3 linked regions of the Cricetulus griseus genome follow. The protein of the gene in region 1 interacts with the protein of each later gene in a pairwise test. Links are inferred from orthologs where the notes say so. Each region holds a gene or a part of one and is shown on either strand. Other genes may lie near its edges.

Region 1 (3,610 bases):
AGTGTGTACTTGACATTAATGCCGATGATAATTCACCTGACTTACAGAACAGTCATTTTAACAGAGAGATGAAAGTCTGAAACAGCGAGAGGAAAACATACTGAAGCCATGACAACCTTGACACCAACATGAAATTAGAATGGGAAACTAACATGATGGGTTCAAGGCTTTGGGGGAACTTTTGTGTCAAATTTCACATTCTCACTGCCTCCAGGTCTTTTTCTTCTAACAAGTTTATGAGCTGGGAGAAGCTGTCTTTCAGTGCGTTCATGTCATCTAGCGAACAGGGCTGCAGAATCCAGCGTTTTCCACGTGCAAGTGGTTCAAGTTCAAAATATTTTTTGATCTAAAGAGAAAAAAAAAAAAGAGAGATGTTAGTAATTGCATCAGGACTGTTTTTTCCCTATAAGATACTAAGTGATGAAGTGGGGGGTATTGAGCCAAATTTATATGAACAGTCATGTCCAGGCGCTCCAGTCTGTCCACAGCTGTTGCTTTAACAGGGTTGTATGTTGTGACCTGGGAGTGTTTTCTTTGGGCGAGGGTGACCTGCTTATGAGCCACCATTCTGACTTTACACTCAACTGCTGAGGAGTTCTTATGAAGTCTGAGAAAGAATTATATGTACTACAGGGCAGGGAGAATCACAAAAGAACACCCAAAAGATTCTACTTGCTCTAGCCACTGTTAGCCATGCAACATTTGCTGTCTTACCCTGACAAAGTACGGATCCTATCAACCACACAAGACAATCCAGAAAGAAACCAATGTTGGCGATCTTATCCTCTCACTACCTTGAATTTCTAGCGGATCCTTTATGAGAGCCAGGAAAGGATCTTCTAGAAGAAAGAACAGGAGCTAAAGGTACAGTGCTCAAGGCTGCCTGCCCATATGGGTCAAGATAAATTATCAGATTTATAAATATGCATAGAGTCTCTCAGGTTTTCTTCTCTCTCCCCCCCCCCCAGTCCTGGACTTTCTGGGAGGGAAAGATAGAATCCCTGACTAAATCAGTTTCGCACAGCTAGGGCTTACACAAGTACCAGCTTTGCTCTTAGGGGATGGGATAAAGAGTTCTTCCAGCTCCTCACTCATTCACATACAGTGGGCCAAAGTAAAACTCTGTACTTATCACCAAGGAAGATTTTCTGAAAACCATATGCCACTCCCGAATGTTCCATTCTGCCATCACAAAGGCCAGACTGTTACCAGCAAAACCACGCTGTCCACACCAGCTTACCCCAGCAAGGGGATATCTTTTGTTTGTTTTTGCTTTTTGAAACAGGGTCTCAGTAGGTAGCCCTGACTGTTCCAGAACTCCTCAAACTTGTGGATAATCCTCCTGCCTCTGACCCCAAAGTATTGGAATTTCAGGTGTGTATCATGTTTGACTCAGAAATACCAAATGCTGTACAATTTAGAGCTGAAAATAATGCTAAGATTTTATATTTCATGAATATCTCTATTCAGCTAACCATGGTATCCCACGTCTTTAATCCCAGCACTTGGGAGGCAGAGGCAGGAGGATCTCTATGAGTTCGAGGCCAGTCAGGGATGCATAGTGAGATACTATCTAAACACACACACACCCTCTTATACATATTTCAGATTGACAATAAATGCCTTTTTCATTCTTTAAAAAAAAAAAGCTATAAGAATTGAAGGTCCCTCTTGATTTGAATTCTGAAGAGTAATGACAATTTATTTCATCCATAGATCAGAAAAAGATGGCTCAGAAAATAGGCCAGGACAATTTTTCATCCAAATCACTGCACAAATTATTTAAAGAAGATACTTGCTTTTTAAGAATACACATGTGAGGGCTGTGGAGATGGCTAAACAGTAAAGTGCTGGCTGTAATGTGTGAGGACCAGCATTTGGGTCCCCAGGATCCATGTAAATGCTGGTTGGGTGGGGTAGCTTATAATTTCAGCATCCTCAGAAGACTAACAAAGGGGACCCATAGAGCATGCTGGCTAGCTAGTCAAGCTGAATCTGTTAGTCCTGGCTTCAACTGCAAAATCCTGCCTCAGTAAATAAGCTGGAGAATGGCTGAGAGAGATTGCCAATGTCAGACTTGGTCCCGTCACCAGTTCCACACACACATGTAAGCTTGTATGTGCATATAACATATATGCAGTCATATATGAAAATTAAAAAACAAGCAAAAAAAACCCACAACACCCCAAAACACCAAACCAAACAAGAACCTTCCCACCTCAATTCCATTCTCCTAGTTTCTTTTTTTCTTCATTGAATACTGAAAACAGTTTACCTCTAAGAAAACCTAAAGTACCTTTGTGTAATAACCATCACTTCGAGAGGCAGAGGGCAGACAGAGCTCACAGGGAGAGCCCTTGGTTAGCAGGAAGGTGAAGAGCAGCAGAAGGTACAGGGAGGGAATATGTTAAATGCTACAGCTAGGAAAAGGTTTCCCCAAAGGGTGTAAACCAAGGCTGTTTGTCTCCTTTTTCCCATTTTAGATTCTACCAACAATTCCAGAAATTGGGCCTGCCATGCTTATAATGCAATCCAGTATTTGATCAGTAATGCTTCCCACCAGATGATGATCAATGGGTAATATACAAATTCTGGTACATGACGTAAGCTGTGCCACTGACATTTTAGAACCTTAATTCAAAAGGGTAGCATTTTAAATAATACTAATTGGAGCCGGGTAGTGGTGGCGGACACCTTTAATCCCAGCAGTAGGAGGCAGAGGCAGAGGCAGAGGCAGAGGCAGAGGCAGAGGCAGAGGCAGAGGCAGAGGCAGATACATCTCTGAGTTCGAGGCTATCATGGTTTACAGAGTGAGTTCTAGGACAGCCAAAGCTACAAAGAGAAACCCTATCTTGAAAAACAACAACAACAACAACAACAAATAATAATAATAATAATAATAATTAATAATAATGATAATAGGAAAAAGCACTGGTCATGAAGAATTCAGTAATATAAAACCAGTAAGTAGGCAAATGTATCTATCTCATTAGAAAGATTTCTTCTTAGCAGTTCATTTAAAAATTGCACAGAATCAACCGGGCATGGTGGTAGACACCTTCAATCCCAGCACTCATAAATCTGAGGCAGGCAAATCTGATTTGAGGCCAGACTGTTCTCCATAGTGAGTTCCAGGCCAGCCAGGACTACATATGAGACCCTGTCTCAAAAAGAAAAACAAAGCAAAAAACAAAACAAAACAATACACAGAATAATCCTAACAGCAGAATTCAAACTAATTTGAAAACATTGGGTTTAATTAATGATTGCCAAGTAGCTAGTCATATTTTGCATTACTGACAGACATAGAATTTAGTGAGTTCTAGTGTGCTTCTCATGTAAACACTTGGAAGAGAATAAATGTCTAAAGGTAGGTCTCATCGAATCCTAAACAAGGAAATGGGAGCTGCAAAGGCAGCAGGATGGTCAGCAGGCAGAGGAACTGGCAGTGTTAAGCTGACAAATATGGCCAAGTAACTTGAGATTTTAGTAACCTAATTGGGTATCTAACCCTGCCACAGTCACCCAGCTGGGTATTCGAAGGATTCCACACAATTATAATATCAATTTTAAAACAGGATTGCAATCCCCAGATGCTGAATACCGTCAG
Region 2 (4,166 bases), about 110 Mb from region 1:
TAGGAGGTGTGGCCTTGTTAGAGGCATGTTACTGGGAGTGGGCTTTGAGGTGTCAAAAAAACTTTCAACGTTCCCAGTTATCTTTCTCTGCCTAATATTTGGGGATCAGATGTCAGCTCTACCACGCCTACTTACCTGTAGCCTCTAACCCTCTGAAACTGTAAGTCCCAATACTTTTTCTCTAAGTTCCATTGTTCAGTGTCTCATCACAGCAACAGAAAAGTAAGATAAGTGGTAAGCACAAAAACTTTTCCAGAAACAATCTGAAAACAGTTCAGAAAAAAAAAATCCAACAAAGGGAGGCCAGTGGTCAAGTTGTTTCTAACATAAAATTATCTTTTAAAAAAATGAAAGCAGAAGTCTGAGTGGGGTGTGGTGGTAGTGGCAGCATGCTATATAGCTTTTCTACACTTCAGCTATCCACATCTGCTTATGGGCCCTATTATAAAGACAAACAGAAACATCCATGGAACTATAAAAGGGTCTGTTACTAAACTTCATGATCTAAAATCATTGAGCATTTATCATGAATGGCAATATGTAAGGCCTTCTGTTTTTAAACAGCATAGCAGGGCAACTCATTTTCCAGTCCCCTCCCAGCCACAGGGAACGGTTTCTTTTCTTCTCATACACTCGGCTTGCTTGCCCTTAAGACCAAACCATCAAAACCTCAGAAGATTAGTTTTGCACTTGAAGTGTTTTCATTTTTGCACATAGAACTTCCTGTGTTGCTTTTCTCTCCCTGGTGCTACAGAAACCCAAGACCTTGTTTATACTTCCAGTCCACTCCCCCACCACTCTTAGACATGTGGGGTTTTTTTTTTGTTTGTTTGTTATGGTCCTTTTTCTTTTTTTGGTCTTAGGGTCTCTCATTCTGTAGCTTAGACTGGTCTTGAATTCATGACAATTTCCTGCTCCAGTCACCAAGTGTGGGAATTATAAGTATGATCTATCATGCCTTGCCAAGCTTTCTAAATTTTACTATCACCCTTGGTTCCCCCCCTTTTTTTCTGAGATATGGTTTTTCTGTGTAGCCCATCTGTCTTCCTGTAACTCTCTTTGTAGACCAGGTTGGCCTTGAACTCACAGAAATCTGCCTGCCTCTGCTTCCCAAGTGCTGGGATTAAAAGCATTCGCCACCATGCCCGACCATCCTTGGTTTCTAACTATGACAAAGCAATTAAATCCTGGAAGAGGTGAAACAGGTCCTGTGAAGATGCAACAGGTTGCTCAGAGAACAGTGCTTCCTAACCCTTCATGGAAGAAGGGGCTCAGTAAGAGATGGGTACACTGCACGGAGGGAGGAACTTATGAGTATTCCATACTGATGGAAGGAATGTAAGCAGAGATCAAGGTCAGCAGAAGGCAAAACTACAATACACTCTATTTGCATTTTATGGTGGCAAATATTCCACCAAAATACAGAGCTTCTAGTCGGAGGTGCTGGCCCACACTCTGAATCCTAGCACTTCGGAGACAGAGGCAGGTGGATCGCTACTTGAGGCTAGCCCGGTCTACACACAGAGTTCTGGGTCAGCCAAGTTACACACTGTGACCCTGTCTCCAAAACGAAACAAACACTGCAAACCTTTCTTACTATATACAGAGGTTGCAAATGTCGCACTACAACTACAACAGGCCTGAGGTAATTGTTTATTTTCTCTGCCTCCTCACTTTTCTTCCTTTTTGAAGGAGGGTCTTCAGGAACTCAGGCTGGCCTCGAACTATGAAGCCGAGGATGACCTGAATTTCTGATCCTCCTGCTTCTATCTCCCAAGTACTGGGAAAACAGGCATTGGGCACCAAGTCCACCGAGGCAATGATTTCTTATATGACATGGTGTCCTCAACAGAAGTTAACTGTGAACAGCTCCCCTGTGATAAAGCATTAACCGAAGCAATGCCAAGGAACAAAGATAGTTTTGCTAGGAGTCAGTTCAAAACCAAAGTACCTCAAGACATCTCTCACACACACGATCATGCTGGAAAGATAACTTGAGAGGCTGAGGAGAAAAGGGACCATCCAATGCCTCAAAGGCCAAGAAAGTGTTAAGGTGGGGTTGGTCTTATATTTCTCTTTCCCCACCTTCCCACTACTCCAGCCCTACAAGAAGCCACAAGTGAGGAAGAGAAGTTGTGGAAACAAGACGGGTGTTGGTGGTGGAGTGAGATGAGGTACCCAAGAACATGTCCAGTTATCTCACACAAGGTCACTTGCTTGGAGTCACTTTCCCCTGCTCCCTCATGGGCTTCCCGCCAAAGATGCTCCAAAGCAGGTTAGGAGGCCAGCCCGACGCACCCCCTCGGCCTCAACCTGCGGACCACGACCCCCGCCTCCCCAGCCTTCTGGTCCGGACCAGCCCCACAGGACACCGGCTTTTGATGCCTACAACTCTGGCAGCCAGTCCCGGGGCTCCTCCGGTTCCGTCCCCTGAGGCTCCGTCAACGTCCCCTTCCTCCCTCAGGGCGTCCCTGTGCCCGCCTCCCGTTCGCGGTCCCTCCCGGGGGCCCGGCACGCCGTTCCTTTCCAGCCCCCGCTCACAGCCCTTCTTCCCGGTGCCCACCTGGCGCCCCGCCACTGCCCGGCTCCTGCAAGCCCCGGCCTCCTCCCAAGTCCTCCCGGCCCCGCCCCTGCTCCCGGGCGGATACAGTTTGAAGCCTCTCAGGATATCCCTGGCCCGCTCGTCCTTGGCTGACATGATGCGGCGCCTGCCGCCTGCGGCCCTCCCACGCTGGCTCGGCGGGGCCTCGCTGACGGTACCCAGGAACTGAGGACGGAGCTGCTGCCGGGCCGGACACCTCAGGCGAGCAGCGGTAGCGGCCAGACCCGAACCGGCCTCTCCCTCCCCTCAGCTCCCGCTCCTGATCCCTTCTCCTTCCCTCTAGTCGAGGAGCTCCCGCCCTGAAACCAATGGCAAGCCAGCCTTGACGATTGGCATTCCGAGCAGCCAATGGCAACGCTCAGCGGCTTCGCTCGGGGACAGAGAGCGTCAGTGGGAAAGGCCCTCCAGGAGGAGTCCCGGAGGACAGAATTTTCATTCGTGTTGTTGCCTGGAGTTTGTCCCAGCGGAGAGCAGTGGCTGGAAATCTTCAGAGGTTTGAGGAGCCTGCTCCCGTCGCCGGGCACACTTGCGGTCTGAGACTATGGCAGGCTGCTCTGTGCAAAGTGGCAGAAACTACATTTCCCAGGCTCCCAGGGAGTACGGAATCCCAGCTCGCCACTTAGAAGCCAGGGACTACAAATCCCAGCACAATCTGCGCTCCGTCTTTCTAACTTGGGCTCCAGTGTGCCGCGCAGGGTGCGCAAATTTGGAATCCTTCTGTAGGATTCGTTTCTGAATCCCGTTACTTGAAACCCGGCGGGAAGGTCCTCATTCTCCCTGGAGACATGACAGCCCGCCGACAGTTAACTTCTGTTTACACGGAACTCAGAAGTCTGCAAACCATGGTAAGACTGCAAACAACTAACAAAACCACGGATTAAGCCTTGAAAGATAATAGAACAAAATGACTTCCTCAAATAGTACTAATTTATTAGCCTGGAGTGCAGTTTTATGTGTTTTGCAGGGTTTATGTTGTGTTTCAGCTTCGGGCTGGGAGAGCTAAGGATTGTATACCCAATGTCAGTATAGGAAGACTTAAAAGAATTTGCCAGCCCAATCACTTTTATCTTTAGTTTTTAAATATGAGGAAATTGAGGACCGGAGAGGCATAGACTGGCCACAGATCACAGCAAGTTGAGACAGAATTTGGCTTTAAGTCTACTGACCTGCAATGTATTCGCTTTGCACTACCCTAGCTAGGGAGGCGATATTTTTAGCAGCATGACAATGTGATTGTTTTTCTTTTTAATGACAGTTTTCCCAACTAGTGTTGAAACACCTAGAGAATAGGTAAGCATTTATTTGGTGGATTTCCTGAACAGAACTATGGTGTGATAGTGTGATATCCTCAGTCTAATAGGTCTTGCTATTTTGATTTGCTTTTTTTGTCATTCAAGTTGACATTTAATATGATTTTTTTCCAGAAAGTAGGTAAAGTTATTTTAACCTCTGTTTCTTTAAAGATGGCTATGTCTTTCCCTAGGCCATCTTCCTATTTCTGTTGCCACCATATCCATTTGAGCACCCACCCATTTTTTTCCTTTCAAGTGATTCAGCAAACCTT
Region 3 (4,363 bases), on another chromosome or scaffold:
AAGGAGAGTCCTGGGCTCAGAAGGAAACCAGGAAAGCTAGGCATTGCCTAGGGAGTTCATGGTCTGACCCTAACCTCTCTTCAGTTGTTGCTATTCCTAAGCCGGGGGTCTCATGTAGCCTAGGCTAACCCTCAAACCCACTAGGTGGCAGATGCTAGCCTTGAACTCCTGTTCTTCCTGCTTCATACAACTTACTGTTCTCATGGCAGCAATAGCAAGTCCTAGGGGAAGCCCTGGCAAGAAACAGGAAGGAGCAGAAAATGCTAGGGAGGCTTGGGTGCTGTTAAGGTACCACATCCTCCCTGCTGACCTACAGAGGCCGGAAGTCACCCCTGGGCCACCTCCTATTCCTCTTGTGGTTGGAAGAGGAAGTGAATACAAAGTCATTCTCTCTTCCCTAGGGCAGCCCCCTCCAGGAAGCCCTCCTGACAGCCCTCTAGCACCTTGGAGCTTGGCAGAAACTATATAAAATTTTAGAGGGTGCTGAGCTCTGACCTATCCATCACAGCTCAGTAAGGTCTGCCCCACAGCTATAGAAGATGCTGCAGAGGGAAGGGAGGGTGGGCAGAACCTGGAAGCAGGATCCTAGCTGCCCAACTCCCAGGAAAAACCTCCCTTTTTACCCTGTGTCCAGCTTGGGAGCCTCTCCTCTCCCTGGGAACAACTTCTCACACCCAGACCTTAGTCTCTTACACTGAAAACTCAATCTGTCAGCCCCTCTGCCCTAGCAGGGAGTGAGGGTCAGGGGCTGCCTAGGGCTCAGGACACTGCAGCCACTCTCTCCCCTCTGCAAAACAAGAGGCCTAGGACCCAAGGTCAGTCCAGAGTAATGGCTCAGAAGCCAATTGCTCTCCCTGTAGCCACAAATAGCTCCCTAAGCCGGATTCAGGGCCTGGTAATCCAGGAACAGCAAACCTCAGACCTATGTGATTAGGGTCAGAAGATAGCAGGCAAGGTGGAGAGGCCTGGAACCCTGTTTTCAAATCCCACACAGGAAAGGGCTCTCACAAGGCACTTGTCCTTGCTCAACCTCTACAAGCTATGAATTCCCTCCAGACTGGGAGACCCATGCTGTGACTTCACCTGGAGGCTTCCTTCGTTGCAAAATAAGCCTTCAGTTATCCAGGAGTGAGGCAGGTGATCCTGCCCCCCACCCATAGGGCTAAATTGAACTGTATGGGCTGCTGTTACAAAATGCAGCCCACTGGCTTCCACACCAGCCTGGTCCAGGCCCCTCCCCCCTCCACTGATGCCTGCTTGTCCAAGGGAGGTCTAGCCAAGAATCTGCCGCTGCTGCCTAGCTCTGAACGGAGGAGGGAGGCCCCTAGGGACCCAGATGCACAAGCTCAGGCCTGCCATCCTGGTCTCCACAGCTGTCTGGGAGCCCTCAGCTCTGCTGCTCCTGCAGATCCATCCAGGCTTTAGGTTCCACTCTAGCACTTGTGTCCATCCCATAGAAAGGGACTGCTAGCTCACAAAGGGAGCTGGAGCAGGTTGCTGGTGACCCACCCATTCCAAGGCAGTGTGCCACTTTCTCTCCAAATACCTTCCATTCCTCAAGGCTCAGCCAACCTTCTGCCAGAAGACTCTCTAGTCCTGTTCACCATCTGTAGTGACGCCTGCCTCTGCCCTGAATGCTCACTTATCTGCCTGCAGACAGCTGCTCTGAACCAAGTCCTGTGTTGATAAAAAAGCCCTGTTGACATAGCATGCATAGCATGCCAAGCATTGTCGAAAAGCAGGAGACAGGCTTTATTTCACAATAACCTTGAGGGAGGTAACATTGTTCCCATTTTACAGATGAAAAAACATGCCTCTGGAAATGAAATTACATCCCCAAGGTCACACAACCAATTATGGGGCAAAAGTGGGACTCTAGTCCAGGCAGCACAGCTTGGAAACAGCTCCAGTGGAAAATGGGCTTCCATTGATGAGAGAGCCCTGGTTAAAAAAACAAGTACCAGCCAGTCCAGGCTTGGGATCACACACTTGTTTCCATGACACAGCCCACAAGCCAACAGACTGAAGCACCCGATCAGTAACGTTCCTGGGAAGAGTATGGCGCTAGCCCTAATGGGGAAGCAGGGTGAGGGACCCTGGAGGTATTCCTCGACTCCACCTCGCCAGAGGATAGGTGCTTAAGAGACTGCCAGTCCGGCACACTCCTCTGTGACCAGCTTCAAAGAGTCCACAGGGGAAAGGGTTCAGATGCAACTGCTGCCCCACCTCTACCATGGGAAAAGGGGTGGGCCCCTTGAAAAGGAAGGAGGGAGGTGAAAATAAGCCCTACTACATGTAGAGGAGGGGCGCACCAAGACACCAAGGAAAATAACAGAAATCTCAGGCTTGGAGGCAAAGGGAGAGTAAAGGGACACAGAGGAGGGGCACTGCGTGGGGGAAGGGTGAGCGCGGGGGCCGGACTCTGAGCCTCGTGGGCCCCCTCCCGAGCTCTCCCTCCAGCCCGCGGGTGGCGCTCCCTTGCCGGTGCTCACCGCCCGTAATCCGCTGCAGCCCCAGCACGTCGTCCGGCCCGATGGGCTGCTTGCCCTGCAGCGGTCCCACCCTGGGCCCCGGGCCTGGTTCTGGCTCCGACTCGGACCCGGACTCGGATTCTGCCCTAGGCTCCCGCGTGGGTTCCACACTCCGGTTCGAGGCCCCTGGAGCGGGCTCCGCCCCCGTCCCGGTCCCGCCGCCGCCCTTCTTCACCTTCATGGCCTCGCGGGGCGGCGGATCCTCGCCTGCTGCTACCGCGTCTGCTGCCTGAGCTGGCTGGAGTCGGGGGAAGGGGGAAGAGTCCGCCGCCCCACCCCCGGTCGGGCCCCAGGTGCCGTCCCGCCTTGTCCACGCCCATAGCGGGCGCGTCATGCATGCCCCGCCCACCGACTGGCATCTCCCCCCCTCCGCCCCCCCCACCCCCTCCGGTAGAGTCAGGATCCTGGGGTCCTCTTGAACTTCACGGTTCTTTTGGACAATGTAAGGTATACTGAATACCTCTCTTTCTCTCTGGGTTCCAGCCTCAAGGTCTTTCCCTGATAGCTCCATCCTTGAACTGATTCCAGTTCAAGTCTCAACCTCCCACACCCACCCAGTTCTAAAGTACTTCCTCTCAGTTTCCAGCTAACCAGCCTGTTGTTTTTTTTTCTAATGCATTAGGCAAAATTATTTGTATTTGTGCCCTGACCTTTGCTCCTCAAAGGTCAGATCTATGAAAGCAACCATACTCTATACTCTGTTCTCTATAACATCCCAGTGCTAGCACAGTGCTCCTGGCAGCCAGTACCCAGGATTTCCCTTTGTTGAACTGATGAGTTAATATCCCAGGGCTGTCACTGGCTCAAGCTATTCCTCCCTAGAATTCCTGCTCAAAAGCAGAAGCATATATTCACAGCTTTAGGCACCCTACAACATGCAAATATCACAGCCCAGGTGTCTAGCCATTCCCAGACTCCACAGTCAGGTGGGACATGGAAGACCTGTGAGCTCAGGGCAGATCAGACTGCTTCTCACACATGAGTGAAAATAATGATATGTCATATCAACTCATATTCAACCAATGTTTATTAACAACCTAATACATATTTTTAAAGAGCCCAATATACACAACACTTTTATATGCTTATCACATTTAATCCAATGCCCTTCTGAGAGTGACGTCATTAATGCTTTCCGACAGATGAAAACCTGTGGCTCAGTGAGAAGCGCTGCTTATCTAAAGCTCTCCAGTACCTCAGTGCAGCAGGGGTCCAATCCAGGCCTATTGGATTCTAAGTCAGAAGTGTTTCCTCCTATACCACACTGCCTCTCTGAAAGGGTAGAGGGGAACCAGTTCCTAAGCCACTGCCTCCTAGACCAGGCTAGGCTGTACCCAATGGGTGATACCAGTCAGGAAGGAGAGGAAGGAGGGAGAAAGTCTTAGAAGTGGAGAGGAGGGGGCTACAATTTAACCCAAGGATTTCCCCTAAATCGACCCCTCAGTGCCATAGTATGCTGTGCTGACAGGCTGGAAGGACAAGGTGCCACTGCCCAGGGGTAGACAGGCAAAGGCCTTTAAGTTCAAGCCAGTGGGATAGGGAGGGAAGGGAGGATGAGTCCATCGTTGAGCATCATCCTTTGGTTGGTGGAGAGCCAACAGAGAAGAATGAAGACAAACCATCAAACCTCACTTTGGTGTCTTGGCCCAACACTCCTAGCTTGGCCAGACAAGAAGTCTACCTCTGACATGCCACCCAGCTCAGTCTACCTTCTCAGGCTTTTTCCAGGACTTGTGAGTTTCCAGAAAGATCTTGACCAGAGACAGGAGGATGGGCACAGCCATAGGCAGGAAAAGTGGGATATAGATAGCAAATTTCTGGTCATCAGGGAA

Evidence for each region.
Region 2: the proteins of Arl15 (region 1) and Pde6d interact in binary tests that used the Homo sapiens proteins (3 or more experiments, as listed by UniProt). The link is inferred for Cricetulus griseus from reciprocal best matches to the Homo sapiens genes ARL15 and PDE6D.
Region 3: the proteins of Arl15 (region 1) and Unc119 interact in binary tests that used the Homo sapiens proteins (3 or more experiments, as listed by UniProt). The link is inferred for Cricetulus griseus from reciprocal best matches to the Homo sapiens genes ARL15 and UNC119.

Annotation. Positions count from the first base shown.
Region 1 is NC_048595.1:331,975,184-331,978,793, reverse strand, and holds part of Arl15 (ADP-ribosylation factor-like protein 15), read right to left. Parts: intron 347-3,610; coding exon 194-346; 3' UTR 1-193.
Region 2 is NC_048595.1:438,252,347-438,256,512, forward strand, and holds the start of Pde6d (retinal rod rhodopsin-sensitive cGMP 3',5'-cyclic phosphodiesterase subunit delta), read right to left. Parts: upstream 2,867-4,166; 5' UTR 2,699-2,866; coding exon 2,649-2,698; intron 1-2,648. UniProt on the Homo sapiens protein: Promotes the release of prenylated target proteins from cellular membranes. Modulates the activity of prenylated or palmitoylated Ras family members by regulating their subcellular location.
Region 3 is NC_048600.1:91,729,173-91,733,535, reverse strand, and holds the start of Unc119 (protein unc-119 homolog A), read right to left. Parts: upstream 2,827-4,363; 5' UTR 2,713-2,826; coding exon 2,493-2,712; intron 1,678-2,492; exon of another isoform or gene 1,554-1,677; coding exon of another isoform or gene 1,547-1,553; intron 1-1,546. Other genes in the region: Pigs (GPI transamidase component PIG-S), read right to left, coding at 4,232-4,363. UniProt on the Homo sapiens protein: Involved in synaptic functions in photoreceptor cells, the signal transduction in immune cells as a Src family kinase activator, endosome recycling, the uptake of bacteria and endocytosis, protein trafficking in sensory neurons and as lipid-binding chaperone with specificity for a diverse subset of myristoylated proteins.